Nothobranchius furzeri: one gene and its partners. The main gene of each other region encodes a partner of the protein of the gene in region 5 in a complex. Links are inferred from orthologs where the notes say so. Each region holds a gene or a part of one and is shown on either strand. Other genes may lie near its edges.

Region 1 (4,643 bases), on a different chromosome or scaffold from region 5:
CTTCTTTTGTTGGTCGTGACTTCAAATGGTGTTTTTCTCTTTGGGACTCTAGTAGTTTGTCCTAAAGTAGAAGTGGTAGCAGCCGGCTGTTTCTCCTTCTCTGATTTTAGTGGAGAACCTCTCACACCAGTGGTGTTCTGCTGCTAAATACGTGAGTGTGTGATGAACGGAGTACCCAGGGAAGTGTTTGGTTAAATAGCTGCTGGTGTTGGCGGTGGCTTTAACACAAATGCCAGAGAATCATTGAATGAATTTATTTCTTTTTTTAAATCTCCAGTTTAGCTTTACTACGTTAGAATGTTGTTAAGAGGCTAAAAGTTTTAGGCCAACTTGTTTTCCATATTTACTATAGAAGCTTTAACTTGGGTCTGACACAGCTTAGGAATACACAACTTGGGGTACATATGGGTTAGTTACTGGAGACCTGGTTGTTTTCAAGAGACTTGATACCACTCAGTCTGACGCAGTTGTTTTTTCACCCTCCTTGCATGCTGGTGGTGTTCAGGTGGAACTGGTGACTAGTGTGTACGGCAGACCCACCTCAGTCAGTTAGCCCCAGGGCAGCTGTGGCTACATTGTGACTCATCACCACCAGCATGTGAATGTGTGTGTGGATGAGTAAAAGACTGATGTATTGTAAAGTGCCTTGAGGGGTTTAAAGACTCTAGAAGGCACTATGCATACCATCTCCCATTTAGCTGTTACCTACAAGAGTATTTACAAATTAAAAAGTCTCGTTCACTTTTTTTTTTCAAGAAATGTGTTTTGGTCTCTATTATGACTGAATCCCTTTTTAGTCGTTTTCTGTACAAAAAATGCTCTGGTGTTGATTACAAGTCTTTCTCATTAATATTCATGATATGCCAACATCTAGCCTCTGATTGGCTTACAGCAATGTTAACAAAACCAAGAATACTATAAAATTGTTTTAAAGAACTATTATAGCTTTAAAATCTTCATAGTGTGTCCCTTTTAAATAAATGTGCTCATGGCGACAGACATGTTTTTTGTATTGGTATAACGCTGCATGTTTTTCTTAGCTTTTTAAACTACCGTAGTTTGTTGTTCATCTTTCCTGATTCAACAACGGTGAGCAGGATGCAATAGCGGTGAGTGACCGCTAGAGAGAGCTAAGTGAACATGAAACTGATTCCCACTTCACACTTGTTTCTCAATAATATGCAGCATTATTGAAAATGCAGCATTATTGAGAAAAGCATTTCACTGTATTAGGAGATTAAATTCTATCAAGTGTCATTAGTGACAAAAATATCTTTGTAGTTCTTAAGATATGTTTTTTTAAAAAGCATAATTTGTTTAAAACTATTAAAAGAGAATACATATTTGTTTGTCGTATCTCAAAAAGTTGTATTTAAAAACTTAAATTCTTATGAATAGATCGTTTTTCCTGCACATTTGTGTTCATATTTATTGTAATTGTGACTTGCTTACAACAAGGATCAGGCCATGAGGCAGCAGCAAAAGCAGAACATATCTTAGAACTTGATGAAAAGACACATAAAACAATTACAGACATAAAAAAACATTTTCGCATAAAAGTATAATCTACATGAAAAACACTGAGCTTTCCAGAAAAGATTAGCCTCCTTACAGGGTGAATCCATGTGGGGTCAAAGGTTATCCAACAGTCCCCGTCTACGGTTTCAACCTCTTCCACTGACAAAAAATGATTTCTATTCTATATTAATAACAATAATACATTTTGATATTTACGTCGATCCGTCGCTTTTATTTTGAAGACGTAAACATTGCTCTCGCGCGCACATCCGGTGTCCAAGAACGCTGCTCCAAACACAATTAGCGCGCTACTCGAGTTTAAAAACATTTTTGGAGTAGAATCTGCTTCTATTTTGATGAGGGTGTGACCGGGTTGCTTATTACTGTCGTGTTGTTCGGTGAAAAGATTAAGAATGGACGCAGGACACGCAAACGTGGGAAGTTTTTACCCTCTTTAGCTAGCCTTCATAGTGTTTTGTGATTTAAATACGTCAAATAATATCAATGCAATCCAGTCAAATGCTTTATTATTGTGTTAAGTTGTTCGTTTGAAGTGTTTATGTGATAATATTAATGTTGTACGCGATAATGCTCGAACTAATGTAAGTTCTTTGTATGTTCAGAGGGTCAGGGAGCTCCCTCCGCTAACACAGGTCAGTGACTCACACCCACGTACGCAGCCTCATCATTGTTTGTTCTCATATTATATGAATTACTTACTGCAGCCGCAGTGTCATAACAAACGGAGGGACCGCCGATCATACTAGCGTGCTCTTCCCCGGCTGCGCCATTCACACACTCACCACGTTTCCATGGCAACAGACGGTTAGATGATAGATGTTGTGTAAGAGAAGCATAACTCCAGTAACACCCACACAAATACTAAACGTCTAATGTAACGTTGGGACATATTTTAACTATGTTATTTTGCTACTGTAAGGAGTTTCAAAAATGTTTTTAAAGCTTTTTAAATCGTGAAAGCACGAACCGGAAGTCAGCTTTTACTTTGAAAGCAGCACCTCAGCTAGAAAGCGGAAGTACTGCAAATTTTATCGTAAAACGTTACAACGTAAAAGTAATGGTCCTTATTTGAGGAGTTTTAAAAGAAAATATGCTATTGGAAGATTTTAAATATTTTGTAAAATATCTTCATAACGGTGAAGAAATATTCAAAAACGTCTAAATCTTTATATTGTTATAGAAGTGTTTATTTTTATTACTAACATATTGCTTTGTCTAAAGAAGCACCTGCTTCATTGTGACTGCTGAGCATTAATAAATGTACACGATGGAAGTTAGAACTAGAAAGTCAGGTCATTTAAAAATGTTTCAGATAAGCAAAAAATGTAAATATCAGTCAAATATAACCTGGGTTAACATAAAACGAAGGAGTAGAAAGCTATCCAAAACAACTTTGCCCTATCTTTAAACACTTTTCCCCTTTTGTTAAATTAACCCCTTATCTATAAAGATAACTTCACTTCCCCTGTTGAAGAATTGTAGCATTAAGAAATCACTTCAATAGAATTTGTCTGATAGCATGAAGAAGGAAGGTTAAAAGACCTCAAAAAGCAACAAACCATGCCCCGTTCGTAAGGGATTCAGGAAAAAAGGAATCCAGAACGACATCTGAATCCCCTCAGGTCTGAGTACCATGACAAGCCCACTACTGACCAAGGATTTACCAACAACCACCATATAGCTTTATGAAACTTTGGAGCTCTTTGTTTATTATTTATATACTTAAATATGCAAGTGAGGCCTTTGAGTAGTTTACTGTTGTACCAGTATCATTAGAAAGATTAAACCAGATTCCACTGAATCCTTTCATTTTAAACTTCTCTGTAATAAACCACTTCACTGCTGCTTCATCTGACCTTTGACCCCAAGTAATCCTCAGTCCTGCCAGATTTAGCCGAGGATTTCAGAGTTGGGATGACGCGTGTTGCTTTGCTTCACTTTGACTCAGTTCTTAGTTGAAATAACCAGAACGACGACGGTAAGATTTTTGTCATCTTGCCTGTTTGATATGATCTTGTCACTAACGAGAGTCGGTGCTTTAAATACACTCATGCCGTGTGCTTGTCTGGTTTTGTAGGAGAGGATGTGACTGTTTGTAAAAATGGATTTACTGAAATGTCTTGCCACGGATCTGGTTTGTATTTGGCGATACCACTTCTGAAAATTCAGTTTCATTAGAGAAAATAACTGCTAGCTAGATGTTTTTTTTTTTTTGCCCTTTTCTGACCGACATGCCGTGTTTGACAGTTTCCAGTTAGATTTAATAGCACTTCATACTGAAAGGTAAACATGCATGTCTTTCATTTAACGTGTTGCCTTTAAATTCCATTAGTTTGCAATACATTACTCTAATGTTGTAACCAGCGGGGATCCAAAGGGAATATTTTTATTTTGAGGAAAGCACTTTGATTAGTGCTTTGCACACTCCTCAAAACTTAGTTTAGGCAGCATAATTATTCATTTTCACTTTTAAACAGGGGTCAGTGGCTGAGTTACAGCGGGCTAACATACTGTTAAAAAGAGAAATTACAAAGGCTAAACATGAATATAGAAGACAGCTGGAGAACAAAATGGCAGCAAATAAACTTGGTTCAGCATGGACTAGCATGAGAATTATTGCAGGACATGGCTCCGAGGCACAGTACACAACCATCTGTCTAGACCCGTTTAACACTGACAGGGAACTAGCTAATGCCCTGAACAGTTTTGATTGTCGGTATGACGCTCTGGATTTCAGCGGGGAACAGGGTGTCCTGAGGGAGAAATTTAAGGATAGTGACCATTTTAAAGTTGACATGGAGGACATAGGTAGGGCCATCAGGACAGTTAGAGTGGACAAGAGCCGAGGACCAGATGACATTTGTGGCCACTTACTTAAATTCTGTGCATACCAGCTGACACCTATACTGCACCACATTTTTAATGAATCTTTACGGTTACAAAAGTTCCCTGAACCGTGGAAGGATGCAGAAATTGTACCGATTCCTAAGGTGAGACATCCAGGTATTTTAAATGATTTCCGCCTTGTTGCTCTAACTTCCATTTTAATGAAAATCTTTGAAAAGCTGGTTAGATGCGAGCTTTTAAAGCAGACACAGCGACTG
Region 2 (4,668 bases), on a different chromosome or scaffold from region 5:
AGGATGACAGGAATAACCACTGGATCAGCATTACATTACGACCACTGGCATGTTTGTCGAGAGCAGAAAACGACTAATGGTGCTGTGTGAGTTTATTTAGAGGTGTCTGGAAAAGCCGAGTTTAGTTTCATTTAGTGAAAAAACCTGAAATTCATGACTGATATGGTCAAAGTTTCATAGGAACCCGTTCCAGGTGACTCCATGTTTTCCCTACAGCTCAGTCAGATGCCAGCTTTAGGATCAATCACAGCATCATCCAGACTCCACCTTCCCATGTGACCTCCGTGAGAAGATAACTACAGTCAGAGCATCCATTTATCAGCCCCTCTAGTGTTCCTGTGTCGGTTTCTGACTGGTTGTTTTCCAAAAGGCGAGTCAGCTCAGAGTTCAGAGGTTGTGGCTGACTGCTCTAAATCCACGTGGAGGAGTTGGTGTGGCTCAGTCCGGCGTGGCAGAGTGGACGTGTGACGGTCCCACGTCGTAGCCCATCTTCTTCATGTCTTTACTCATGATGTGAAAGGAGACGGTTACAGAGCCTTGGGAACAAACTCTTGTCACTGAAACGGAAAAATATATATATGTTAAAAGTTTTATTCTAGAAAGGTAAAAGAAGAAAAAGCACCACTAACCTTCTCTGCCTTCACCCTGGGCCACGACCTTAGGGTCTGTGTACTCGGGCCGCCGCCCCAGCAGCCAGCTGAACAGAAATAGGATCTTTTAGCGTGTTTCTCTGAAACAGTTCACAGCTTCCTGAATAATTTGCATCCTTCACGAAGGCCGTGCTAATGGCTAGTCCCAGTTGCTGCTGTCCTAAAACGGCACAGGTCTGCTAAAGCTCACTGTGGTTCATCACATTCTTTACAAATGTAAACATCCCCAATAAACTAGCATTTCTGGTGCATCAGGGGTCAGGTCCTGCAGGAATTTATTCATATTTCTGCTAAAATGTCTATGTGATGAGAACCTGACAGCAGTGAAATGACCTCACATGGCGATCTATGACATTTAGAGGCCTGGATGTGGCTCATCAGTCCTCTAGGATGCACAGTCTGTTTCTCTGACCAGATAATTAGTAAGTTTTACACAAAACGCTCCTCAAAATGGCAAAAAACTCCATCAGATCTAATAATAATCACATTAATATTCAGTTTTCATGGTAAAAATGAAAAGAAAAACACTAAAAAGACTGAGAGCAACATCAAACAAGCCCGAGTGTGAATCTAAAGTATCCAAACGTGACAAAGATTAGTCAAAAATGAACCTTTAAAACGTGTGTTTGTGTTGGAAGCTTGCGTTCCACATGAGAGGAAGATGAAATATTTACTGTTCCTCTAAAGATCACGGGTTTCCAACAGCTAAGGAGACCGATCTCACCCTGTGAACTTCTGAAGTCTCCACGTGGGCTCGGGAACGAACATGGGGATGGATCTTTTATGTCTGACAAGTGAAAAACATTCAGATCTGTATCTTCAAACCGAAGTAACACATTCTGTATGCTTTTAGGTCAAACATGAAAGTAATACTGACTGTCCAGGTGTGAAGGGGATGTGCGTTGCTCCATAGCCTCTGACCACATCGTTACCAAACACATCTGGTCCGTACACACTCACCACCAGCTGAGGCCCTGGGGGACAAACGGCGTTAATCCTAAAGAGTCACACATGATGATGATGATGATGATGAAATTGTGATCTACTCACACCCAAAAGGATTTGTGCTCTTAAACGTCGTCTCCAGAGGAAAGTTCCAGACTAATCTCTGTGTCTGACTGTTTTTGCAGGTTATTTGAGTTATTCCTTCTTCCAGTCCCTGGAGAGTCACATTCGTTACAACACAACTCCATCCAGCCACCGCTGCATTAACTATCTATAAACCCTGTTCTGTATCCTTGAAAGTCACGTCTGACGTTATTGGGCAATACCATCGTCCGATATTGGCATTAAAATGTAACATCGTTGAGTTATCTTTTTTACTGTTTGAATGACACAACCTTTGCATAACATGCTCACATTATACATCAAACTCCTCAAACACATCAAAATATGGCTGATCTGAGGTTTCGTTTGTTACTGTCTGCATCTGTGTGGGTTCGTGTTCAAACGTAGTATTATCCGTAAAAAAAAGCATATTGAACATCTTTAACAATAAGGTTTATTGTTATGAACCCATCTGTAAACACAGCATCCACATATGTGGAAAAAGCCTTGAGATATCATTTTGTTTATATCTTACAAAATTGTATTATTACTCAAGGAAACGTAATTAATTATTTTTAATTTAGAGCTAAAAAAAATCCATTATCAGTTAGTATTTGCTTTAAATAATATATTTCTGAGGTCTTACAAATCCAGAACAGATAGATGAAAATTAAAAATGCACAATAAGTGCTCTCAGAACCCAAGACGTTTATTTTACATGAACGAAGAGTGGAAAAGAGACATCTTGCCCAATAGTGAGCCATATCTGATCACCCATATATTTCCTCTAGTTTCTATATTAAAACATTTCAGAAAGTTACATGTTTTTTACACTTTTGACGTCATGTGATAGTTATGTTTTTATAATATGCTAATAAATTGTTTATATAGCAGTCTGATCTGTGTAATACATACAGTCTAGTAGAAGTATACCGGCAAGAATCCGGCCAGTTTAGTCTCATTCTCACCCTTAATTCGTGCATAATAAACACTTAATGGCTTTAAAACGTTGAAAACATTAATAACATCACTATAATAAATGTATTAGTATTGTAAAGTGGTACCCAACAAGCATACTTCATGTTTCATCCTAAATGCTAATGGTTGTAATACTCACTGTGGTTGGAGCCCAGTCGTGGCCGTACACGTAACAATATTTGCAGTACAGATTGTCATGCTCTGGAAACTGAAATAAAAGACAAACATCACCATAAACAACCCGGAACATCCCGGATGAAGCACCAAACGAGCCATTGTTGCTAATGCTAACGCTAGCAGCTAAGCTAAAACTAGCTAAAAAGACGACTTACGTTCGCTCCCTCAATCTGCCCGTTCACCGTGAGGAGGAACACGCTCGGGTTGTTTGTTGCCATCGTGACTCCAGAGGTTCAAGAAAGTAAAAGTCTGTTAAATAAGTCGAGCTAATTTGGTCAGTCTGAAGCGATCCGAGGTTGTTGCTAAGGCAACGTTTACTCCTCCCTATGGCTACCGGTTTGGATAAAATTAAACGCAATTCTTATTGGTGATATTGGGCCATCACGTGTTAAAATTAATTTTAAATAGAGCAAAAAGTAATTCAAGAAATTCAGTCAAAATACTTATTTTTATAAACACCCGAAGTTTATTAAAAGGAGAAAAGAAGGCGGAGAAACAATATAAAAACTCTGGTTTAATTGTCTAGGCGTCCACTAGAGGGTAGCAAAATCAAATACACTGACTTTTAAAAATGCAGGTTCGTTCTCATTCACGACTGAAATCACTTCACGACCAAACATGTTTGAAAATCGTTTTTTAACCTTATTACCAGCCCTGAAAATGTTATTTCTCAACCATCGTTTTATTGTTTTGTAGGCCCAAAGGACTGCAATGTCTGTTCAACAATAACTGAAACAAAACAACATCCAAAACAAGAAGCCTAACTTAAAATTTCCAGCTAACTGGACACCTCCAGTGCTGTATATAAACATGGATGTCTGCTTTTCCTACTGCGCCACATGCTTGAAAATCAGAAATGAATGAAACCAAAAAATCTGCATTCCAAAGTATGTAAACCCCTCTGGCACGTGTGTCTAAATACTGTGTTTTGTTTCAGATGTGACAAAAACAGCTCTTTCTTTCAGCTGTTTCATACCCAGCAACCTTTTTTTTTTTGCTCTTCTCTCAGCTCTCTCCCACACAGTGCTTCCTGCTGTCTCCAGGGCCCACCCCAAGTCTTCTGACCTTTGCAGCTCCATAAACAGCAGCTCTTATTGCACCTGCTTCCTTTTATCTCCCATTTTGTCTGCCAAGCTCAGCACCTGTATCACTTTTTCACCTCCAGCTCTTTTTTGATCTTCGCGATCATATGGCAGGAACTCGATGCATTTAGAAATCTAGCCTAACCCTTTCTGACCACTTGGACCCATCTTCTGATGGCTACTTCCAGCAGGATCATGCACCATGTCACAAAGATTAGATAATCTCTAACTGGATCTGGAACATGACCATGGGTTCCAGTTACCAAATCTCAGTCTGGTCCAGAATCTTTGGGATGTGGTGGAATGGGAGATTCCCCTCATGGATGTAAAAGTGGGATGACATGGACCAGAATCTCTGAGGACGGGTTCCAACACCTTGTTGAATCTATGACAGGAAGACAGGGAAGGCAAGTTCTGAGAGCATAAGCCTAGAAAACTAGACAAACCAATGCGGTTCAAAAATATTTTACCCTGCAGGTCGGTCTACCCACACTCTGTGGCCTAAACAACTCTTGGTCAGGCCAATCAGTGATCCTTGTTTGGCTCAATTTAGTTCAGTTTACCAATACAGCGCCAAGAGTTGTCTCTGGGCACTTCACAAAGTAAACATTGCGATTAGGGATGGACAATATATCGGCATCAATATCAGTATCGGCCAATGTTAGTCATTTTTAACATATCAGTATCGGTTCGATAAATAAAAGCGAGCCGATATTAACAACCGATATTTTTTC
Region 3 (4,753 bases), on a different chromosome or scaffold from region 5:
CCCACCCCCTGGACTCACCGGTACTCTGTCAGGGTATTTGTTGCGTATTTTGGCTGACTCCACACATCGGTGCTCTGAGGGAGGGACAGAAAACAAACAGGAAGTAGAGATTAAAAGGATGAGTGAGGCCTCTTGGGATTCTTCCTCTGCCATCTTAAAGCCAAGCCTTGTTCAACACAGAGAGCTCCCTGTGCACAGCAGACACTTTTCACACAAGATGCAGCACGCATAAAATGGATTATCAACTCTAACAACAATTTGTGATCAAATTAAGGCACTAGCTGCCTTTCACAGTGATTGTAATCATGATTGATGCCATTGTGTGCATTGATTTTAGGCAGGACATGCAGCAATGCAGAAAATGAGGCCCGGGGAGGGGAGGAGAGGTGATAGTTGATAAGGTGCAGGCTTTCATTAACCCAGATAAGAGGCCTACTTTGGATGTGTTTCTTTAAAAAGGTTATCCGGTGAGAGTTTCCACACAAAAGCTGAGTTACATAACAGAAATGGCTCCAATGAGATGTGAGTTCAGTTACTGTTAATGCGTTTGAAACAATCCTGACTTACATGTTCAAATTGTATTTTCATTAGGTCTCTTAGCCAATTAAAAAAATATAAGAATTTATTCTTGCTGGATTTGTTCTGACATTAGGTGTTTAGGTCAAACATTATCAAAAGGTGTAAACACACAGTGTAAAGACAGGAATCAGAGCAGATTCAGCTGATTTTGCTTTTAGGGCAACGATAAAGCGACCAAAAAGGGAAAATGGTTTCATGCAGCGAAATCGAATTACAGCAGTCGTGCAAATGGCAAAAAATAAAAGCATGCATTACTGCGTCTATGAGCGGTGGCATTGCTAAACGATGCGGGGACAGTAAAACAGAATAAGGTGGGATGACACGACAAGAGCATCTCTTGTTTCATAACAATCCAAACCCTTTTACCGAGGGAATGGTCCTCTTTAAACATCCATTTCATCTTTGCTGGATCCCCGCACTGAGGCGTGACGCGTAGAAGCTTCTAAATCTGCGGGTAATGTCGGCGAATTGTCCAAATATCCAGACAAACGCAATCAAAACAACGTCAAATTAGCCTTTCAGCTGTGCGTCTAGCGGAGAGGTGACGTCAACGTCTGACAGAGTGCTGCCTTCACGGGCTCTCCGGGAGAGTCGGTCTATCCGTGACTGAGTCCTCACACACATAAAACATAATGGTAAAGGCGCTTGTTTGTATTTCTGTTATTTTCTAAAGAACAGAATAACACATACAGTCAGAATGAGTAACATCATAAGAAAAATACCTAATAAATGATTTCCATAATCTCTAAAAAATGCCCCCAAGACAGTCTGTGTAAATAGTTTCTCTACACTATGTTCATCAAAATTAAAAAGAGTAGCAGACGCCTCATAAAATAGCAACATTTCCACATCTGGAAAAAAGGTTCCCGTACTCTCAAACGTTGCGTGAACGCAGTCTGGTCGTTGGCTGCCATGGTAACCGCCAGACGCCTAGCTAACATGGCGTGGGATCCCGCACCGATAATCACAGAGGCTAACAAAAATAGCATGTTAAACGCCAAATTTCGTGATGAATATGTCTTTATGGGGCTGCTTGACTCCACATTCAACTAGATGGACATTGCTTTATATGAGTTAAATATGTTTGTGAGCTTTTTCTCTTATTAGACCCGAGTTAGCATCCGCGTTAGCGGTTAGCGTTTAGCTAGCGGGTACTCATGGCTTTTTATGAAGTCTACTCTCACCCGGCCGTGGTTCGGTACAAAACCAGTGTTTGTACAACAGCTACCTTATTTCTGGTTGTTGTTTTATGCCTTACGTACATCCCACCGCTGCTGGTTGCATACAGGAGTCAAGGTACAGTAACGGTCACCAGAAAGCTTTTATTAACTGTTCATCGTGTCTCCTCAAATGTCCTACGATGTGTAAATCCTCAGTTACAGAGACAAGAAGTAATAACAAATGCTTAGGTTCACCAAAACCTCGGGTTTATGGAGGGAACAAGTCTTGTAAAGTTTATTGAAGGAAGGTTTACTGAATGTTTTTTATTATCTTATTATAATTTTGCCCTTTTTGTATTTGTTACCATCACAAAGATATTTAATCTGACCATCAAGTGACTGCAGAAAAACCAATCCCAGATTAAATTCACATAATGATAGAATAAAATAACAGGGATATTTACAGACCAACTTTTCATGCTTTTATACTGTGATGTGACTGAAAAAAAATACAAATAAAATATGCATTTATTGTGATTGATGAGTGAAAGTTTCGTAATTAACTTGGAGAATATTGCAGAAACCTGCAATAAAAAGCCTCAGTTTTGTGTTTGAAATTATTTCTTTTAAATAATGATAAACGAACCTCACGTGTACAGCACCTTTCAGAGTCGGAGGACTCCAAAGCTCTTTACACTACAGTGTTTCATTCATCCATTCACACACATTCACACGCTGATGAGCTACATTGTATCCACAGCTGCACTTGGCCTTCCGATTACTGGACAACCCGCTGTGCCTCTTGAGCTGCTGGTCCAATATTAGAGAGGCATCCATTCTGGTTTTTGAGATTGATACAGGTTTTCAGTTCTTGTACAGATCTGACCAGCAGGTGCTGAATATCTTATACTTTAGACAACCCCAACTTTTGCTAAATCATATGGAGAAACTCTGAAAAGCAGTTATGTTCAGCAACAAAGGCTGCAGAACTTTAGTTGATCATCTTTGAGCCAGAAACCTGCTTGTGCAGCTAAGTCTCATTCTCATTTTACACATACCTCTCAGTAGGTAATTTGCAGTTTTTTTTTTACCCTGAAGGTATTTAATTCTCCAAGTAGCTTTCTACAGATTCCCACTCTTAACCCTGTTGCAAAACAAAACTAATAAATCTGGAAAACTCATCTAATATTTACCAATCAGCATCCATTTTGGCTCATGTGATATTTAGACACTGCCAATAAACTAGTTCACTTATTGAAAACATACACAAATTTCTCTTAAAATTAAGAATTTTTTGCATTAAGATTTGAAAATGTGCTCCATAACTTGTGATTTTAGCACGACCAATAAAGCAACATGGCAACGTCAAGTTCTTGTCAATGTCTGGAAATCTCACTTGTGTTAATCCACCAGATTTTACAGGAAACGTTCCTGTTCACAAACTTAATATGGAAACAAAAACACATGGTTTACTCCGCAGATCACCTTAGCTTGTGAGATTTATAATCTCGACAACAACTCGAGAGCTTCTTTACAAAACCTTCAGTTGCTGAGATGATAAAGTTTTATAGCAGCAATAAAAATAAAAGAGTAACTTACCTGATAACAGTGCTTTCACACATTGTTTTACAGCATCTAGTCTAAATGACAGCTTTGTTTCTTTTTTTAACACACCACTGACTGTTTCCAATTGTCATTTACCTAAAAAAAACAACGTTTAAAATATTTGACCATGTTGAAAATGATTATTTTGGATGTCAAAGACATTTTCATGGAAGAGCTGTTATTGCCCGTGTGAATTAGCTTAGTGGACGTTCACGAGAAGATGAGGTGGAGAAAGGAGTTGAGTGGAACTGTATCTGACGCTCTGAGCAGATAGAGTTCACTGCTTTAGTTTCTTCTCATTTCAGGTTTCTGGATAAAACGAAGCATTTACGAAGAACAGCCGGTTGTGAGGTTCCAGTACGAGACTTTGCTGTTAGCAGCAACCAGTGCTCAAGGACATTATGTTGCCTGGAGCACTTTCCCTTTCCTTAACAACATGCTTGGGACCAACCTACGTATCCCCACTATCTCTGTAAGAAAACTCAACGTTCCTCTCCCTTAAGTTATTTCTGAATCACTGGTAAAATCTCTGCAGCTTTGATTTCATATTTTACACCTAAAAGGCTGAGACTGACTGCCAACCAGAGCAGGATGAATACTGTTGAAGTAAAAAACATGCTGGTGCTCAGCCAGCCAGCAGTGAGTCAGAACACAGAAAATTCACATAAAAGACTTAATAGGTGCTTAATATTTGTGAAAGTGAAAACATAAAGAAACCAGAAAAAGCTAAAACACATTTTTACTCTAAAGGAGGATCATTCATTTCCACGAGTCTCTTGTGCCTCTGCAAGATTGTCTTTTGTAATTATGTATTTTTGTTTTGTAAATGAAAATTGTGTTTTGTTTTCATAAAGGTGAGAGAGGAGGACCTGAACCAGGATGGGAAACTGGACCGTTTGAACCTGCAACTGCAGCTTCCGCTGAAACCTGATGAACAAGTTTACAGCATTCAGCTGCTGCTCACCTTCAGCTACCAGCTCTTTGTATGTATCCCACTCCAGTAGCCGTCTCACAAAGAGCTCTTTCCATGCAGAGGAAGAGGATTTTTATTTGTGTCCAACGTGCTTTGAAGAAATATTTCAGCCACTTCGTCTTTGCATTAAAGGGACATTATGGAAGTGTGACAGCCAAAACATGTATAGAAATAATAAATGTCTTCTTCATACATTCTCCTGCAATGCCCTGGTCCTGTAGAATGAGCCCTGGCATTTTTACTGTGATTGCCTGTTTTTATGTAAAATCACAGAAAAAGAGAGATGCTCGGGTCGAGCAGGCTGCTTCATGCGCGTTCACGCTCAGGCATCGCCCGTAGCGTTTGCTATCCGTAGCTTTAGCAGCAGAGAGAGAGGCAGTGCCACTTTGTCGCTGTTCCTAACGCCTAGTGACAAAGCTAGCTACATTTCTGAGGA
Region 4 (4,244 bases), on a different chromosome or scaffold from region 5:
TCTACAAACCTGTAAGGACAAACAGCTGGAAATAAAGTTAAAGTCCCTTAGTCATCATCACACACTGGTGAAACGTATCTCTGCGTCTGACCCATCCCCGTGGTGAGCAGTGAGCTGCAGCTGTGGCTGCGCTCAGGAGCTATTTTATGGGTTAACCCCCCAGCCCAACCCCTTAAAGCTGAGTGTCAAGCGGGAAGGGTTAAAGTCCCACTTTTTAAGTCTTTGGTACGACCCGACCGGGTTTGAACCCCGATGTCCAAGGGCGGACCCTCTACCACTAGGCCTCTGAGCTGGTAACTGATTAAAGTGCATTAGATGAACCAGTGGGAACGTTTGTTTCTTTGCAAACATTTTTCGCTAACCAGATGTTTGTTGTCCAGCCCGCTGTTGGTACGCTACGTTACCTGATGGATGGAGAGATCGGTGAGGAGGACGGCTGTGATCGCTATCTTTTTAGATTACCCATCAACTTTCAAACTACCACTCTCTCTTTTCCCTCTTTTTCTCTTTAGTCTCGGCTAAAGGATTTGAGTATGATAACTTACACGTCCACTTCGTCCTGGATCTTCCCAATAGTGAGTAACAAGCCGTCTGTGATACTCATTTGTGATATTTAGTTTTAGTGAGATCTTAGTAAACTTTTTTGTTTTAGATTGGTCCAGCTCAATGCCCCAGTTTCTGTCAGGGGTTACCCAGACTTGTCGAACCAAATCACTGGGGAAGGTGTGTGTTTGACGTAAGAAACTGGTTACTTGCTTCAGAACATGAACACTGACACACGTTGATCTCTGCCAACAGGAAAATGTGGCTTTCTTCAGTTACCCCTTCAACTTTGAGATTTTTTACAAGAGTGAGAAAGAGAGTGAAGGTCAGCGTGAGCCTTTTCATTTTGAAATGATGTGATTTAAAAGTCTAAATTTAAGTGTTTTCACTTTTTTTAATTTCAGAGCTAATTCCCCAGTGGCCAGTGCTTTACTTCAAAGTTCTTTCTCTTGACCTGTGGGGGCGCTATCGTATTGAAGGCTATGGTTATCTGCTTTTTCCAGCTATTCCTGGTATGCTGCTGCATCTATAAGACTCATTGACTAATTTACTTCTTTATTATTTAGATGATTTTAGATTCACATTACTGTTATTTTTAATTGTCTTTAAAAGTGTTATTTTATTTTAGTCCAGGGATGTCCACCCTTGTTCCTCAAGAAACCCTACCTAGCACGTTTTAGTTGTTTCCCTGCTCCAAAGTACCAGATTAAATGGTTTGATCAGCCTTCTAATCCCCTGCTGATTGAAATCAGTAGTGCTGAAGCAGGGAAACCTCTAAAACATGTAGGACGATGGCCCTCCAAGACCAGGATTCGACACCCCTGACTGAGTTTTATCTACTGAACATTCAAAAACAAAATTTAAAGATATTCAGATAATTCACCAAAGATTGTACTACAAATGAATTCATACCAACAATTTCAAATATGCAAGATTTTTAACTTCACATGGTTCAGAAAAGTTAATAATAATTCCTCTGCATGCTCCATCATTCATCTCCATCATATATTCTGTTTCTGGTGCATCCCAGGTAAGCACACCATGACCTGTCACACATGGCGACCTCTTCAGATGGGGACGGTCTCTGCATTGAGGCGCTTTTTTATCGGAGGTTCTGCAGAGATTGAAGATCACAGCTATGTCAGAATACCAGGGACCTTCAAGGTGCACTCACAGCTAAGCTAATTCCAGGTTTTGAACCTTTGCATAAATTTTCTCCTGAAGGTTTAATGGGTGAAACATGATGTTTTAAAAATATACATTGTGGTAGTTGTAGCATTATTTCGTTATCACCAAGTTAACTGTGTATACCTGAGCAAGCAAGTAAATTAATGCATTATTATGATTCTTAATCTGGTACAATGGTGTCTGGTTTCAGGGAGACAGGCTGAGTCGCTTGGGCTTCTGCAGTCTAACCTCAGGAAGTGTCACATTTAATCTGAACTGCATCCAACAAGCCAGGTAAAGACCAGTTTAATCAACAAGCAGCTGTTTCTGATTTTCTCCCTGACAGCTTAACAGTTTATATGGAATGAATAAAACATCAGAAGTGAGATTTACTCTCTGCACTGCATGCAAAACACTATTTCTTAATGCAAATGCAAGTGTTCCATTTACAAATTTCACAAAGATCTGTATTATTAATGCAAATTGTTTCATCTTTACTTTTAAAAAGTGTTTACTGTTCGCTTCTGGTTGTTTCAGGGCCTTTGTTGACGCTGCCATTCAGAAAAAGAGGAGGCAGAAAGTCATCGACCAGCTGGGAGGATTTAGTCAGCAGGGAGATGTTTGCAATGTTCTGGGTAAACATACTCACACAGTATTTGCATCAGGGTTTAAAAGACTTTCACTTCCTGTTTGCTGCTGAGTGTATCCTTGTTTGTGTGAGCTGTGAGTTCTGTGTGTGTGGTTAAGTGAAAAAGTTTACTGTAATCAGGCTCTGAATGTTCCACCATTTATTATTTTTACCATGAAATGATTTTATGATAGCGGGAGTGAAAATTAGCATAATGCCACCAGTTAGCCTCTGTCAGCGAGCGTCAGGGCAGCTGTGGCTACATCGTAGCTCATCACCATCAGTGTGTAAATGTGTGTGTGAATGGATGAATGATACACTGTAGTGTACAGCGCTTTGGAGTCCTTACTCTGAGAGGCGCTATACAATTATGGGTCATTTATCATTTAGATTCTCGTTATTTCAAACCACTGGAAGATGGATTTGTTAGGACACTCACAAAATGTTATGGACTGTATACCAAGCCTTGCATTGCAGCTTGATTGCCCAAAGTAGACAAAAATGTAGAAAGAACAGGGAATTTTTCTGCAGGGTTAATTTAATTTGTATTTTCTGTTTGTTTGTTTTATTTCCCTTCAGAGGCCTTTCAAAGAGCATACAAAAAGCTACAAGAGGCCAGAGAAACGTTCCCACAAAAAGCCATCAACTCTACTTCCCAACTCGAGCTGGAATTTTCTGCATAAAAACCAAAAACACACTAAAACTGACATTTCAAGATGCATTTAGGATCCTGCACAAGCTTCCAAAACTGAAAAGTTTGTCTCAAGTCATCTTCTGTTCTTCTCAGACTGTAACTGACATTTTATTGACAAATGTTATTAACTTAAAAAATCATCAGAAACGATTTATTACACCAACATTAGGAGATGGAGCATAACACTTGTCTAATAAATGTACTATAATACCAGCAGTTTTTTTTTACAAAATTCAAGGTACTGTTTTCTTTTATTATTTATTTTACTGTTTATTTTTCTTATCTGAAATAAAGGTTAACTAAATAAAAATTAAATATGCAATGAAGTGGTATATTTTCCCCATTTTTAAAACAAAACAAATGGACTGAAACCCGCATTATCTGACTGCGGGTTGTCCTCCAACGTAGCATTCGTTTTAGCTCCAAAGGGAAGTAGTCCAATTTTCCATGACTGTAAACGCACCATTCTCCATCTTCCTCCAACCAGGGAAAGGACCGTTCAGCGATTTTCCCTCTCAGTTTCACACACGACCAGGTACTTAAGTACACATATTTCACGTTAATTTTGCAATCGTGTAATTTTTTGATGTGTAAATTGTGTGTCTTAGTCAATGTATGGCTGCTTTAGCGTATCTCTAGTAGGCATGTAGCGATGGGAACTGGGCCGCTGGTCGCTTTTCTCTTTTTTGTGTCAGATTTAGCCTAATGCTCAAACGAAAACTGAAATCGGTTTTCTGAAACTAAAACCCTGGTGGTTATTTAGATTCACTGTTTGGGGCTGTTTACTGCGGAATGAGTGTTGATGCTTTTTTTCGTACATAGCCGTTAAGCTAACCAATGTTAGCTAAGGGGAATTATGTATTAAGTTGATGTTTCTGGATTAAAAGTGTCACGCCCTGAAACAGTGAACTGTCTCGACTAGTGCCTGTGGGATTATCGTAAATATTTAATAGAGGTGTACAGTTTGAGGCAAATAGTTGCTTAAATGTCTCTGAAGCCATAACGTATATTTGGCAACGGGCTCCTCATTGAAACGCTCGCGAGCCACCAGCGTCATAAACAAACAGAACAAGGTCAAATCTGATGTCGGATCACTTATGTGTCCTGCAGATTTTTACAAAAAGCCTGCAAATTTTTTCAAAAAGTCTAACAGATCTTATGGAAACACACGCCTAAGGACTTTTTTAATGATTGTGTGAATGTTTTGTATTT
Region 5 (4,113 bases):
TATAAACACAAATACAAATTTACTGAAAGTGATTTTATAAGCAGACACACTTTGCATATATTACGTTTTTTTAAAAATACAGTCAACTGAGTAAATGGTGTTCAGTATAACAAAGTACAAATATACTGATTAAAAAATAAAAGTCTCTAAAATAAAACATTAGAAGTGAAAATGACCAGCTCTAACAAAAAGACAGACACAGTTCAGGTATCAGGCTCAAAAGCACGGTTACATTGTCCTGTTGGTCTCTGTGGGAGAGGTCTGTCTGTGGACCTGTCTCTCCTCCTGCTTCTGCTCCATCCTGAAGGATCTGCTGGCTGGGACGAAGCTACAGGCTCTCCGGGCTTCTTCATCTTCTTTTTCCTTCTAGTTCTGTAAAAAAAAAAAAAAAGATATATATATCTTCACAACCAGCATTCCATTTGTTTTGATGTGAGTTTCTGTGTAAAACTATAGAAATAATTACTTTCTTGCCCACTGTATATACAGCTTCCTGAACAGCCTCACTTTAGAAAAATAGAGATCAATTTCCACATGACTGATGAGATAACAGTCAGACCAAAGCTTAAAGGTGTGGAACACTGAAAAACATGTTTAAAATCTTATTTCTGATTATAAACGGTCACTCTGAGTTTTTCATGCAGGCTGAACATGACAATAGTCTCCTACACCTATCCTCCTGCATTAGCTTCTGATAGAAAATAAACAGTGAAACTCTAGGAATGTTACTTAACATTCATGGACTCACCCATCCTGATTCGTGACAGGGAAGGCTGTTGTTGGTTTAGCATCCAGGAAACAGCAGAGCATATCTCGGCTAGTTGAAGTTAACAGTTAGCATTAGCAGCTCCACCACACACCAGAACTCCTCCATGCTTGCATTATTTGTGGAGATAAAACATCCATGTTGCAAGTCAATGGTAGAGTCTCGTTGCTGGCATCAATCCGAGGTGAGAAATATCAGGAAATAAAAAGACTCCAAATCCTCTGAGCTCTGAAGCTCAGCTGTGATGTGGCTCACATCTAGTTCCTGAAAATGGTGCACCAGAGCTTTGTTTCCCCAGAGTACAACTTACAAGGCATTCATTCCTACTAGAGACCACAGCAAATGGACTGATTAGTGTTCCACACCTTTAAAACAGTTCCATTCTCCAAAATATGAGTTATCTTTAAATATCATTTTATAAACCTAAAAATTTGAACCATGTTCACATTATACTGTTGTTTTAGGACAACTAATAAGATATTTTTTGCCAGACTTGACCCCCAGATGAACCAGGAAATGCTACATTTGCTCCTATATATTTTTTTTTTTATCTGTACTGAAACTATTCAAACGAGGCTGTTTAGCTTTAGATTCACCGTCCAGGTTGTGTTCCCGGTTCTAGTAGTTAGATATGTGAAGTGGTGGAGGTTTTTAGTTATTTACAAGCTTGAATATCAGGAATTCACTTTGATCTTGACTGGATCAGACTAGTCGTTAGCCCATCAGTCCTGTTGGATGAATTTTTATGAACAAAAGTTGTTCAGCAATGATTAGGTTATTTGTTATTTTCCGCAGAAAAACACTTCAGAATGACCAACGCATTCATTTAATCATGTTTCTTAACCAGTTTTCCTAAAAGGAGCAAAAACATCAACCCTCACATGCTGCCGTAATCATGCATCATGAATATAAAAGGGAGCCTCTTACTTAACGTTGGTCAGCCCAGGTTCGGTGTCCGAAAAAGTTGGCTCAGAGAGAAACCTAAGCTCCCCAGAGGAACTAACCGCAGCAGATACCTTGAAATGTGAGCATGAAAACTTAAGAACCAGAGAGACAGGAAACACCAAACAGATACCCGACAGACAGAATCCCATCATGCATCTTAACAAGGCATAGGTTAACATGACGCTCCTCTGCAGGGTGCAGCTCCCATTTAGGCCTGCAGGGGAGAACTTCATGTAAAACAACCCAAAGAAGAAACTGATTTAAATCTGTTTTCCTACCCTGTTTGGGGTTGACCTCTCAACGGTCTTCTCAGGTGACATGTGCCTCTCAGCAGACTCTTCCATAAATTCACCTTCAACAACAACACAGAAGAAAAGAGTTCAAATGCATCTAAATATATATATATGTGTGTGTGTGTGTGTGTGTGTGTGTGTGTGTGTGTGTGTGTGTGTGTGTGTGTGTGTGTGTGTGTGTGTGTGTGTGTGTGTGTGTGTGTGTGTGTGTGTGTGTGTGTGTGTGTGTGTGTGTGTGTGTGTGTGTAATCTACATGTACTTACGCTGATCTACTACATAAGAAGCAAGGAAATATCCCTGCAGTCCATTGACCAGGCGCCCAAACCACCAGGTGTCGTTATCTTTGTAGAGCACTTGGATGACATCACCGCGCCGAATGGTCAGTTCATCAGAGCGATTAGCTGTGTAATCGTAGAGGGAAACGACCTGAGAGAGAAACACAAAGATGCAACAAGAATGCAAACACACATGCTTCTGAGATCAGTGTCACAGTGGAGACTCACTACTTGCTGAACTGGAACCAAATCCGTCTCCAGGTGATTCCCCGAATGGTCACGAAGGCTCTGTTCCAGACAAAACACCACTTAACCTTCTGATGAAGTCTTTAAATTGGAATTATATGCTAGACTCAGTGGAGGATGGATTATTAAAGGGGCTTGCAATGAAAAAAATAATAAAGTGTTCCAAACCTTACCGACTGTTGCCTAAAAGCTGAAGCTCCTCTGAGACTGACTGAACTAAACCCTCCTGGAATTACACAACAAAACAACAAAAAGCAAAGTTCCTCACAGATTTCTTCTGCTTTTGCTTCTTTGTCACACTTAAATGTTTCAGATAAGCTAAAAAATTTCAGCAAATATCTACATCAAAGAAAAACAAAGTCGCCCAAAGCAACCTGGTTCTGACCCCCAAACCTAACATCTGGTTTAACTCCTGAAGGCAACAACAGCCGTCAGGTGTTAGTGATGACCGGTGAGGCGTCTCACATCGCTGAGGAGGAGTTTTGCCCCGCTTTACTTTTAATTCAGCCACATTGGAGGGTTTAGAACGTGTTGCTTTTTGAAATTGCCTACTTCACTTGTTGATTTCTCACCTAAAGCTTTAGCAGTAATCAGGCTGGGTGAAACTTAGCGTTTCCACATAAAACCAGGTTGCTTGACCATTGTCCCCTTATTGCTGAAATCACTCTCTTGCTCTAAAAAACTCTAAGCTTCACAGCTTTGATCAAATCTTGAAGTTACATCATGCAGGAGTTTGAGCAGCGATAATCTCTGGAAACATTTGACCTCGTCTCCCAGCTCCAGAAACTCCCTTCATTGTTCCAGCACAAATAACTGATTATCTGGACGAGACACTCACGGGTTTGTGTACTCAGGGCTGCTTGCGGGATTAGCTGTTCTGCAAAAGAACCAGAGAGCTGCAGCTTGGAGTGCGGTGACAGCAGAGACGGAGGTGGCAGAGAGACATTTAATCCCATCTGAGGAAGAGCAAAAACTTTCATTTACACCTTCTAATGCAACGTCTACTGATAATACACAACAGAAGGCTTAAACGTTTTAACTCTGAAAGAAATGTGGAGACAAACAGCCTTCATTAACTTTAATATGACTCACAGTAACCTTGTGAGTCTGTGTGGTGTTTGGGGTCTGTAACCGTATAATCACCGTGCTAGTGTCTGGTGGAAAGCTCTTCCCCATATGACTGATGCCCATTTTGTCTGCAAATAAAGAGAACAAGACTAAATACTCTGCATGTAAACAAACAAACTCATCTGAGATGCTCTCATACAGACCGTGATCCGAAAGAAATCCAGAAGCTGAAGATCGGCGATGTGGTTCCTACAAATGGTGTCAAAATATGAGCCCCGTTTAAATAACTAAATGATATTTTGTGAGTTAAAGAAGATTTACCAGAACTGAATCCAGCCGCCGTTTAACAGACTGCATTTTCATGGCGAGTCGTGCTGCATGAGCAAACTGGTCCATGGCCGAAGGAGCAGAAGTGTCCTGCAGCAGCAGCAGAGAGTCGGGCGTGTTTCTGAGCGTTCGGTCTGCAGACGCCGATGTGCTCGCTGCTTTAATGTTCTGCATCTCCAGCTGGGAAACTAA
Region 6 (4,704 bases), on a different chromosome or scaffold from region 5:
TGTGTGTGTGTGTGTGTGACTGGTTTTTAGTTACCTGCATGGTATGTTCGCATCAGTTCTCTCCACCTGCTGCTTCTCTTCTCCAGTAAAGTAAGATGCAAGTAAAAAGCCTCCATTTTTGTGATTAAACACAAATACTCATCGTACACTTGAGTAAACTACTTTTTGCTGAGGGTGGGTGACTGAGGAGAACTTTGCTGAGCTACGGAACAACTGGTTCATTAGGATGAGCCCATTAAAGTTTAGTTTGTCGGTTAAGGGCTCCTTTCATCACCAGCTGCTGATGCTTGTAAGCTTCTTAGTGAACCAAAAACCTTTGGTGTTTCATTCACATCCAGCCCAAAACCCCTAAAAAGCGCTGTCGGCCAGTTCTCTCACCCCTGCATGTTCTCTCCCGCTCAGCCAATGGCAGAGGATCAGCTGGTGGTTAAAGACACCTGACAGGAAGCCACAGGTTTACACCTGACACCTGTAGGGGCTGAGTCTCACTAGATCTGGGCTTGATCCACTCTCTGTCAGAGGGCCTCCGGAGTTTGATGGAGGAGACGTCCAGCTGGAAACCCTCCTGGTGAGAGCAGGGAAAGAGCCAAACCCAGCAGCGGACAGTGGAGGAATAATAATAATAATAATAATAATAATAATAATAATAATAATAATATACATTAATTGATCCTCTTGGGTAAATTATTTCCCCACATTTGACCCCTCCCTCAGGGGCTGCATTGTGTATGGCTCCTGGGGGGCGACTTAAGGGTTCAGCATCTTGTCAAGAACGTTTCTGACGTGACCTTTAACCTGCTGGGATTGAACTGAATGGTCGGCTGCCCCCCCCCCCCCCACACACACACACACACATAGCCCTGGCCACGTACAAGTCAGAGGAGAAGACGAGATCTATTGTAATTCACCTTTAGTGGAACAAGTCAAACGCTGAAGGAGGCCAAAACCTGCAGTCTGTGTCTCCATCTAGTGGAGAAAACTATGAACAGAATGTAGAATGAAATACCCTGAATCCTTCCGATGGGTTAAAAAATAGAAAAGTACGTCATTATTACAAGTTATAGAACACGTTATTTCGAAAAACAGTTCTCGTTAAAACGTGATATAAATCACGTTTTAACGAGAAAGTTTCTAATTTTAACAAGAAAGGATCTCGTAATAACGAGAAACTTTCTCGTTTGAACGTGTTTTATATCGCGTAATAACGAGAACATTTCTCGTTATTACGCGATCCTGGTCCTGAGTTTTTTTTCCCTGCACTGACGGTAATACGCTTCCGTAGAAAAGTATGAATAAGTAATAATAAAATATCAAGTGAGGCAGAAATCCATTTTTAAATTATATTCACACATTCGCATACGTGGTGAAGGCTGTTATTACTTAAAATTTTTATTGACACAGGAACATATTTTTATTTTATTATTTCCGTATTTGTGTGAGGGAATTAAAAGAAGGTATAAAAACAGCTGATTTCCTGGTAACACGTGAAGCACGTGGAGCTGCTTTGTGTAGGAAGCAAAAGTGTCTGTTTTTAGTCTGTGAACGAATCCTTTCTGTGCGGTTCAGTTCGCTGGTGCTTTTCAACAGCAGTTCCACATATGAATGCTAGGCGGCGGTAAAACAGCTGTAATTAGAATCAATACCAACGAAGAAGAAAAAGAGTAGGAAGAAGTAGAAGAAGAACCATAGCAACGCTAAACAACATGGCGGTCTCGGCCGCTGTTTTCTCCATATTAAAGTCTCTCTGGTTGTTTCTCTCGATTACTTCTGTCGCTTCGAACCAAAGTACAACTAACGGCGCGTTTAACACGACTGAGCCGAACTTTAGTCACACCGTTACGGATAATTACACAGAGTTCGAGTCCACACCGAGCCCCGGCGGAACGGAGAATTCCCCCGTAGCCGCCGAGCCGCTGCCTGTCTCGGGCCATCTGCTGTCTGCCAAGACCAGCGGTAACCGTCCACGCTTCCTCTGCTACTGTGACAGGGTCCCCACGCTGCGGTTTAATGTGTGTGTGTGTCCGTCCATCAGCTGACAGCCTGTGTCCCTGTGATGAGGTCCTGGGTGTGTGTGACACCAACTGCTGCTGTGACCCAGAGTGTGGAGGGGAGGTGGTTCTGTTCACCAGCTGTTCGCTCGGTTCTGTGAGGAGGTTAGTGGACTGGCTGGGTTCCACCTAGAACGGCTCCTCTGCTCTGCTTGGTTCATGTTGCTGGAAGGTCCCTGCTGCTCTGGTTGGGAACAGGTGTGGCGCTCAGCTACATCACACAGTGGTGGTGATTAAGGAGCCACATGGAGCAGAAGAACCTAAATAGGCTCTGAGACCTGATAATTACATCTCTTCCTATTGAATGTTGCTGTGTGTTCTTATTAAGCTACACAAAAGCTGCCTGACTTGTCTCTGCAACTCTGCAGTGGCAGCCAGCAGCTGTGTAACCAGGAGGCAGCATACTACACTCTAAGGACCAACGTGAATGGCTACTCAGAGCTGCAGTCAGCGGTCCAGAAGGAGGACAACGCCAACATCTTCTGCATCCGATCACAGAATCGTAAGACACCAGAATTCCTTAGGAAGAACCAGTTAAGCTGTTTGAATTTAGTCAGTTTGACCGCGTCCACCTAGGCCCACTTGATCCCATTAAGGGTGATGGGGACTTGGCTCCCATCTTCAGCTGTTATTAAGTGAGAGGTGGTGACGCACCTGGACAGGTGACCAGTCCCCTAATTAAATTGTTATTTAATAACTTTAATTTTAGCACTGCGCAGTGTGTGTCGGGTCTCTAGATGACTGATAGAAAACATCAACTGAGAAAAGCTCTCACACTCAGCTATGTGTAAATAAAGAATCAATCAGGACGTATAAACTAAGTTAAAACCTAAACAGTAAACCATGATTAAAACCAGATTAAAGTTCTCTAGTTTGTTTTACTTCCAGGTTTATTTTTCTAAAAGGGGTTTGTCTCACCTGCTGTGTGATATTCCTCTCCGTAGGTATTGATGGATTGTCCCATCCCTCTCCAGCTCTTCCAACTGATACCAACTTTGACCTGCTCTTTAAACTGTTTGCTCCTTTTCTGTGGAGGATGGAAAACTCAGATCAGGCAGCCCCGGCAGGAGTCCAGGACTCACGTGGATACCAAGTGAGTCTTGGGCCCAATCCCAATACTCGCCCTCGTGCCCTTCAATTGCACGATCCCGACCACGGCTGCGAGTGCGTAGGGTGTCTCGATTCTCAAATGCATAAGCTGATCATGCCCCTTTTGCACCCATGATCCACACTTCACTCAAGTCTGCAGCGATGCAGACTTGAGTGAAGTATATTACCCACAATCCATTGCTGCAGGAGAAAGGGCTCAAGTTCCATATCCGAAAATATGTATTTTCTAATGAAAGTAGTTAATTTTAGAACAATTAGTTGATGCTCTGAAACTTTAAGACAAAGCAGCGAAGAATGCCAATTTATTTCAAATAATTGTTTGGTTGTTTGTTTGAAAGTTTTTAATAAATGTTTTTAAACAAAGTATCACAGCAACCAGCATCCCGGCATACGCAATGCTCCCTGTCTCAATTCTGTAATTATTTGCACACTTGTGTACTACGCACTCGAAGCCTTCCAGCGCACTTTCTCCAAATGCACTTGGCTGAAGACCACAGGGAGAGTATTGAGATTGGGCCTTAGTTGGACGGAACAAGTATTAATGGGTCCAGTGTCGTAAAAATTAGTTATGAAAAACAATCCTGCATATGCAATTCAATGTATACGTTTAAAAACTGCTTATGATAGTGCTAAATATGATCATTAAAGCAAAAACAAGAAAGAGAAACTAAAAATGTCAAATCAGAATCAAAGATGTCCTTTTCCATGCTGTTTGGTTTGAGAGTGATTTGGTGGTAGTTGAAGTCAGAGGTCAAACTTTTAGGTGCCATGGACCACAGGCATACGTAGACCCCCCGTGGGCTGGTGCTGCCTATTGGAGCTACTGTAGTGGCTGGCCGCCATCTTGGATGGGTCTCCATTCGCCCCCAGTGCATTTATTTCTACTGAGGAAGGCGTTTAGCTAACTAAAGAACACATTTAATTATGTTTTTCACAAAATCAGACACATGATATTGCATGGCAGTTCTAATATAAATATAATTACATAAAATAAATTAAAATACAATCATGGCTTTTGCAGCCGTCATTCTGCGTTGACTCTAGTTGGATTTGGAGAGCAAAGAGACCCAACCAATATGGCGGCGAAGCTGTTACGCTCTCCAGCACATAATGAGGTGTCTACATATTCGTGTCTACGCCAGGGGCGAATGATCTAGTGTGTTAATGGTTCGTGATCGTAGTGATTGCTACAGTGTGACGACTGTTACATCGTGTTCATTGTTACAGTACGTTCACAGTTCTACTGGGATTACTGTCACGGGGTCCGCAATTTCTTCTACCCCTAAGAAGCTACGGTGTTATTGTTATTTAACTGTTATCGGCTAGAAGCTAACATTAAGTTAACGATGCTAAAGTTAAAGTCCCACAGGGAGCCTAAGTCTCCTCCCTTTCCGGTCGGCTCGTGAGTCCCCAGAAGAACAAATTATGAATGCAAGTCAACGGGGCTAAATGAGTTATTTTCTAATCTGCTGTGCCTTACGCCCTCGATCACTCTTGTGTTGTACTTATATTTGAATCAAAAGTAACGATGGGTGTTTTGAACACG
Region 7 (3,507 bases), on a different chromosome or scaffold from region 5:
CAGACAACAAATTGAGAGGCTAAAAAGACTCATGTCTTGATGGTTTACTGTTGAATTGTGTATATTATTATGTGTTAAGTCATATTTTAAACACAAATAAGCAGAAGAAAGGGCCTTGAAGGAAGTAAAATGTTCCTACAGCTCATAATGGAAAGATTTTTTACTTTTTATGTGCATGTATCTCCGCATATTCCAATTTCTTAGGAGTGCATAGAAAATATTTTATACTGTAACTTCTGTATTGGGCTATTTTGTTATTTTAGAATTAAGCTACTGACTTCTGCAAAAAGACCATCCAATTGTTTAATTTGGATGTTTTTTCCCCGTCAATGCAAAAAAAAAAAAAAAAACATTTGTTCCAAAACATCACTGCACCGCTACTGACATCTTGTGGTCATATTTGGTTACTACACTCGTGTGCCCCTTGGTCATTTGGATTTGTTGTGCAAAAGAAAATAACTGCTTGTACAATCCGGAACTTCTTATTTTGTTATTCATCGTTTTTACATTTGATTGAAGTCTTTTTTCGACACAAACGTCCTTTAATGTCCAGCGTCCCCTTTAAGGACTCTGGCCAACAGCTCAGCGCCCAATCACGGCGCGTAAACTGAACTCTGTTGTTAGCAGCTAGCATTAGAAAAAACAATTCCAATTACCGGAGCGATATTTTCCTCCCTCTGTTCATTTCAAAACCCACAGTTGAGAACAATTGTATTTCGGTCATAATAGCCAAAGCAGCAACGAGCCTCTTTACTCGGGTGTACGTGCTAAATACCGGGAAAAATGACTTCTGCACTGGTGAGTTTGGCTAGCACTTGTTACTGTAGCAACTGAGGAAGTTCGTGTCTGATTTGTAGTAGACTACTTGTTTTGGTTAACGCACACACACACACACACATGTTCAAATATTCATAACGTTACAAATATGAAATATTAGGTATAGTTGGATTGATGGTAAACGGTAGATGAATAAGAAACCAACTTCAATGATAAGTGTTTATTTATAGCTGTATTTCAGGTGTAAAAACATCAGCATAGAAATGTACAAAACTTTGCCGTGTGTAATTTTTCAAAGGCATTTGCGACAAAACAAACTTTTTATAAGAAAACAATCAATACAACATTCTTATTTGACGTCTCAGCTCTCGACGCCATGTTTGTCAAAGTGTCTTATGATGACGCCCAGCTCCAGATTCACAGTGCCCATGGCCTCGGTGTGCAGTCTGTATCTGTCCGCTCCACTGTAAATCAGATCCGGGTTGCGGAGCTGGGGGCCTCCGCCGACAAATATTCGTGCTAGCTGCTCTTGCCAGGAGCCGAGCGGCCTCCATGTCACACAGCTTATGCGGTGATGTCCGGGGCTGGAGGGAACGTGGCAGTACCCGTATCCGTACAGCTGGTAGCGGCCGAATGAGTCCTGGTGCCACACTTGCAGATGAAGCTTCGGCCAGCCCTGGAGACCTTTGGTCGCATAGTGCAGATCAATTGGGTGGCTCCAGTAAGCCATTTCTCCGCTGTGGGGGGAATCCACCTGAGTCTGACCCTCCTTCAGCCCCGAGAGAAGACGCCATGCTCCCCCCGTATGAACTTCCCATTTGCAAAATAGGCTTTTTTGAGGAAACCCGCTGGCCCCGATGATCTGTCCTATAATGTGAAGCTCTGCCATTTCACAGCTGTCCGCTTTAACCAGAACATGCGACACACGGAGCCCGCTTTTATCAAAGGCTACAGAGCAACAAACGCAGCTCACGTCTCCTTGGTAACCCAGCCTGCCATAGTGTGCTCTTAATACAGCACTCCCTGAGCAGAGTCTGTCAGGCAGCACTTCCTGTCTAGGGCTGGTTCTATTTTTGAAGGCAAATGAGACACATTTTTATATCTTCTTGCTAAAAAAATATTACTTAACCTTTAATTTAGTAAACTAATTACGAATTTTAACCAATTTAATTAATGACGTGAAGCAGCTGTTACATAAATTACAATCATACCTGAAAGACTGAATAAAGGGTATACAAGAACCGCTGGTTTACTTTTTTCCGAATAACTATTTAACAGCGCAAGTTCAACAAGATGGCAAATGAAGTGCACTGTACTTTTTAATGTATTGTTTACATCTCAATGGTGCTTTATTTTTTAAGGTTATAAATTCTAAAAAGCTATTTATTTAGATATGCTTTCTCCTGCTTTTCCTGATGACTGTTCATCTTGCAACTTTTATATAACTCAATGGATAACTAAAGAAAGTAAAATTTATTTATATAGAACCTATTGTAGAAAAGAAAATCATGAAGTTCTTCAATGAAAATTACATAAAAAATAAAACATAAAATACAAAAAAGAAGAAAATATCATTTAATAACAAAAGTGGTCATAAAACAAATGAAAAAATAATTTCCAAACATAAACTTGTAAAATAATTGAAAATCTCTGTTGATTTCATCATAGTCTGATCCAACCCTAGAGAGAAATTTCAAGGGTCACAGGGACGTCGTGACAAGTGTGGACTTCAGCCGCAACATGAAACAAATTGGTAATATTATTATTATTTGATCTGAGCCTTTGTCCGTCTATATATTCACCTGTTATCCAGTTTGTTGTGTGCACATTGTAGTTAATACCAATCTCTTGCTTCAACCAGCTTGTGCTTCCTCCTTTCTCAGTCACAGGCTCTATGGATTCTTGTGTGATGATCTGGAACTTGAAGCCTCAGATGAGAGCTTATCGTTTCGATGGACACAGAGAAGCTGTAAACTCTGTCCAGTTTTCTCCATCTGGTCACCTTGTGGCCTCGGCCTCTAGAGACAAAACTGTACGTCTCTGGGTGCCCAGCATGTAAGTTTATACGTAGCAGCATTTTATGTTGTTTTCTTCTCATCAAGTTTCTCCAGAAATTATCACTCAAGACAAAGCTGTGGATTCCTAAAGGCAAAAGAACAAGATCTGCTGATTACTCTAATTTCATCATACCAGCGCCCTGAATAAACAGTGTGTTTGTCTGCTTTATGTATGAATAATACCTTTTGTGTTTGCAGGAAGGCTGATTCAACTGAATTCAGGGCTCACACTGCCACTGTGCGTTGTGTTAACTTCTCCGGTGATGGACAGAGCCTGGTCACAGCGTCTAATGACAAAACAATCAAAGTGTGGACGGTCCACAGGCAGAAGTTCCTCTTCTCTCTTAACCAGCACATCAACTGGGTCCGCTGTGCCAAGTATGAAACACACACACTCCCATTTAATACCACACCATGCAAGTTTCCCTGTGATATTTGTAATGATGAGTAAAGTGTTGTACAAGTGTTTAAAAAATTTAATATGTGATGTCAAGTTTTCACCTTTTTTTTTTACACTTTTCCTCTCAAATGTTTAATTTTAAAATTTTAATGTGCTTTTCTCCAGGTTTTCTCCAGATGATCGTTTAATTGTGTCCTGCAGTGATGATAGAACTATAAAGCTATGGGACAAGAACAGCAGAGAGTGCATTCATTCTTTCTTTGAACATGCTGG

What was found.
Region 1: ahi1 (region 5) and transmembrane protein 237B share a complex: the UniProt entries of both Homo sapiens proteins name them as parts of the tectonic-like complex. The link is inferred for Nothobranchius furzeri from reciprocal best matches to the Homo sapiens genes AHI1 and TMEM237.
Region 2: ahi1 (region 5) and b9d1 share a complex: the UniProt entries of both Homo sapiens proteins name them as parts of the tectonic-like complex. The link is inferred for Nothobranchius furzeri from reciprocal best matches to the Homo sapiens genes AHI1 and B9D1.
Region 3: ahi1 (region 5) and tmem231 share a complex: the UniProt entries of both Homo sapiens proteins name them as parts of the tectonic-like complex. The link is inferred for Nothobranchius furzeri from reciprocal best matches to the Homo sapiens genes AHI1 and TMEM231.
Region 4: ahi1 (region 5) and mks1 share a complex: the UniProt entries of both Homo sapiens proteins name them as parts of the tectonic-like complex. The link is inferred for Nothobranchius furzeri from reciprocal best matches to the Homo sapiens genes AHI1 and MKS1.
Region 6: ahi1 (region 5) and tectonic-1 share a complex: the UniProt entries of both Homo sapiens proteins name them as parts of the tectonic-like complex. The link is inferred for Nothobranchius furzeri from reciprocal best matches to the Homo sapiens genes AHI1 and TCTN1.
Region 7: ahi1 (region 5) and b9d2 share a complex: the UniProt entries of both Homo sapiens proteins name them as parts of the tectonic-like complex. The link is inferred for Nothobranchius furzeri from reciprocal best matches to the Homo sapiens genes AHI1 and B9D2.

Annotation. Positions count from the first base shown.
Region 1 is NC_091742.1:64,222,155-64,226,797, reverse strand, and holds the start of transmembrane protein 237B, read left to right. Parts: upstream 1-1,747; 5' UTR 1,748-1,931; coding exon 1,932-1,955; intron 1,956-2,141; coding exon 2,142-2,171; intron 2,172-4,643. UniProt on the Homo sapiens protein: Component of the transition zone in primary cilia. Required for ciliogenesis.
Region 2 is NC_091752.1:49,447,885-49,452,552, reverse strand, and holds the start of b9d1 (B9 domain-containing protein 1), read right to left. Parts: upstream 3,260-4,668; 5' UTR 3,071-3,259; coding exon 3,008-3,070; intron 2,884-3,007; coding exon 2,815-2,883; intron 1,810-2,814; coding exon 1,701-1,809; intron 1,625-1,700; coding exon 1,528-1,624; intron 1,438-1,527; coding exon 1,375-1,437; intron 698-1,374; coding exon 630-697; intron 558-629; coding exon 439-557; 3' UTR 1-438. UniProt on the Homo sapiens protein: Component of the tectonic-like complex, a complex localized at the transition zone of primary cilia and acting as a barrier that prevents diffusion of transmembrane proteins between the cilia and plasma membranes.
Region 3 is NC_091744.1:86,200,625-86,205,377, forward strand, and holds the start of tmem231 (transmembrane protein 231), read left to right. Parts: upstream 1-1,503; 5' UTR 1,504-1,736; coding exon 1,737-1,875; intron 1,876-3,649; coding exon 3,650-3,816; intron 3,817-4,198; coding exon 4,199-4,327; intron 4,328-4,753. Other genes in the region: gabarapl2 (gamma-aminobutyric acid receptor-associated protein-like 2), read right to left, coding at 19-74, 946-979. UniProt on the Homo sapiens protein: Transmembrane component of the tectonic-like complex, a complex localized at the transition zone of primary cilia and acting as a barrier that prevents diffusion of transmembrane proteins between the cilia and plasma membranes.
Region 4 is NC_091750.1:66,889,710-66,893,953, forward strand, and holds the end of mks1 (tectonic-like complex member MKS1), read left to right. Parts: intron 1-380; coding exon 381-423; intron 424-512; coding exon 513-575; intron 576-652; coding exon 653-723; intron 724-798; coding exon 799-868; intron 869-947; coding exon 948-1,055; intron 1,056-1,573; coding exon 1,574-1,707; intron 1,708-1,921; coding exon 1,922-2,004; intron 2,005-2,247; coding exon 2,248-2,345; intron 2,346-2,917; coding exon 2,918-3,021; 3' UTR 3,022-3,354; downstream 3,355-4,244. UniProt on the Homo sapiens protein: Component of the tectonic-like complex, a complex localized at the transition zone of primary cilia and acting as a barrier that prevents diffusion of transmembrane proteins between the cilia and plasma membranes.
Region 5 is NC_091758.1:20,128,599-20,132,711, reverse strand, and holds the end of ahi1 (jouberin), read right to left. Parts: intron 4,110-4,113; coding exon 3,916-4,109; intron 3,844-3,915; coding exon 3,798-3,843; intron 3,723-3,797; coding exon 3,619-3,722; intron 3,483-3,618; coding exon 3,365-3,482; intron 2,753-3,364; coding exon 2,700-2,752; intron 2,569-2,699; coding exon 2,509-2,568; intron 2,432-2,508; coding exon 2,269-2,431; intron 2,064-2,268; coding exon 1,990-2,063; intron 1,783-1,989; coding exon 1,694-1,782; intron 876-1,693; coding exon of another isoform or gene 818-875; exon of another isoform or gene 683-817; intron 373-682; coding exon 204-372; 3' UTR 65-203; downstream 1-64. UniProt on the Homo sapiens protein: Involved in vesicle trafficking and required for ciliogenesis, formation of primary non-motile cilium, and recruitment of RAB8A to the basal body of primary cilium.
Region 6 is NC_091741.1:109,995,057-109,999,760, forward strand, and holds the start of tectonic-1, read left to right. Parts: upstream 1-1,523; 5' UTR 1,524-1,703; coding exon 1,704-1,953; intron 1,954-2,032; coding exon 2,033-2,153; intron 2,154-2,416; coding exon 2,417-2,550; intron 2,551-2,992; coding exon 2,993-3,141; intron 3,142-4,704. UniProt on the Homo sapiens protein: Component of the tectonic-like complex, a complex localized at the transition zone of primary cilia and acting as a barrier that prevents diffusion of transmembrane proteins between the cilia and plasma membranes.
Region 7 is NC_091743.1:62,502,685-62,506,191, forward strand, and holds b9d2 (B9 domain-containing protein 2), read right to left. Parts: upstream 2,105-3,507; 5' UTR 1,667-2,104; coding exon 1,139-1,666; 3' UTR 983-1,138; downstream 1-982. Other genes in the region: poc1a (POC1 centriolar protein homolog A), read left to right, coding at 784-798, 2,446-2,530, 2,661-2,832, 3,033-3,212, 3,400-3,507. UniProt on the Homo sapiens protein: Component of the tectonic-like complex, a complex localized at the transition zone of primary cilia and acting as a barrier that prevents diffusion of transmembrane proteins between the cilia and plasma membranes.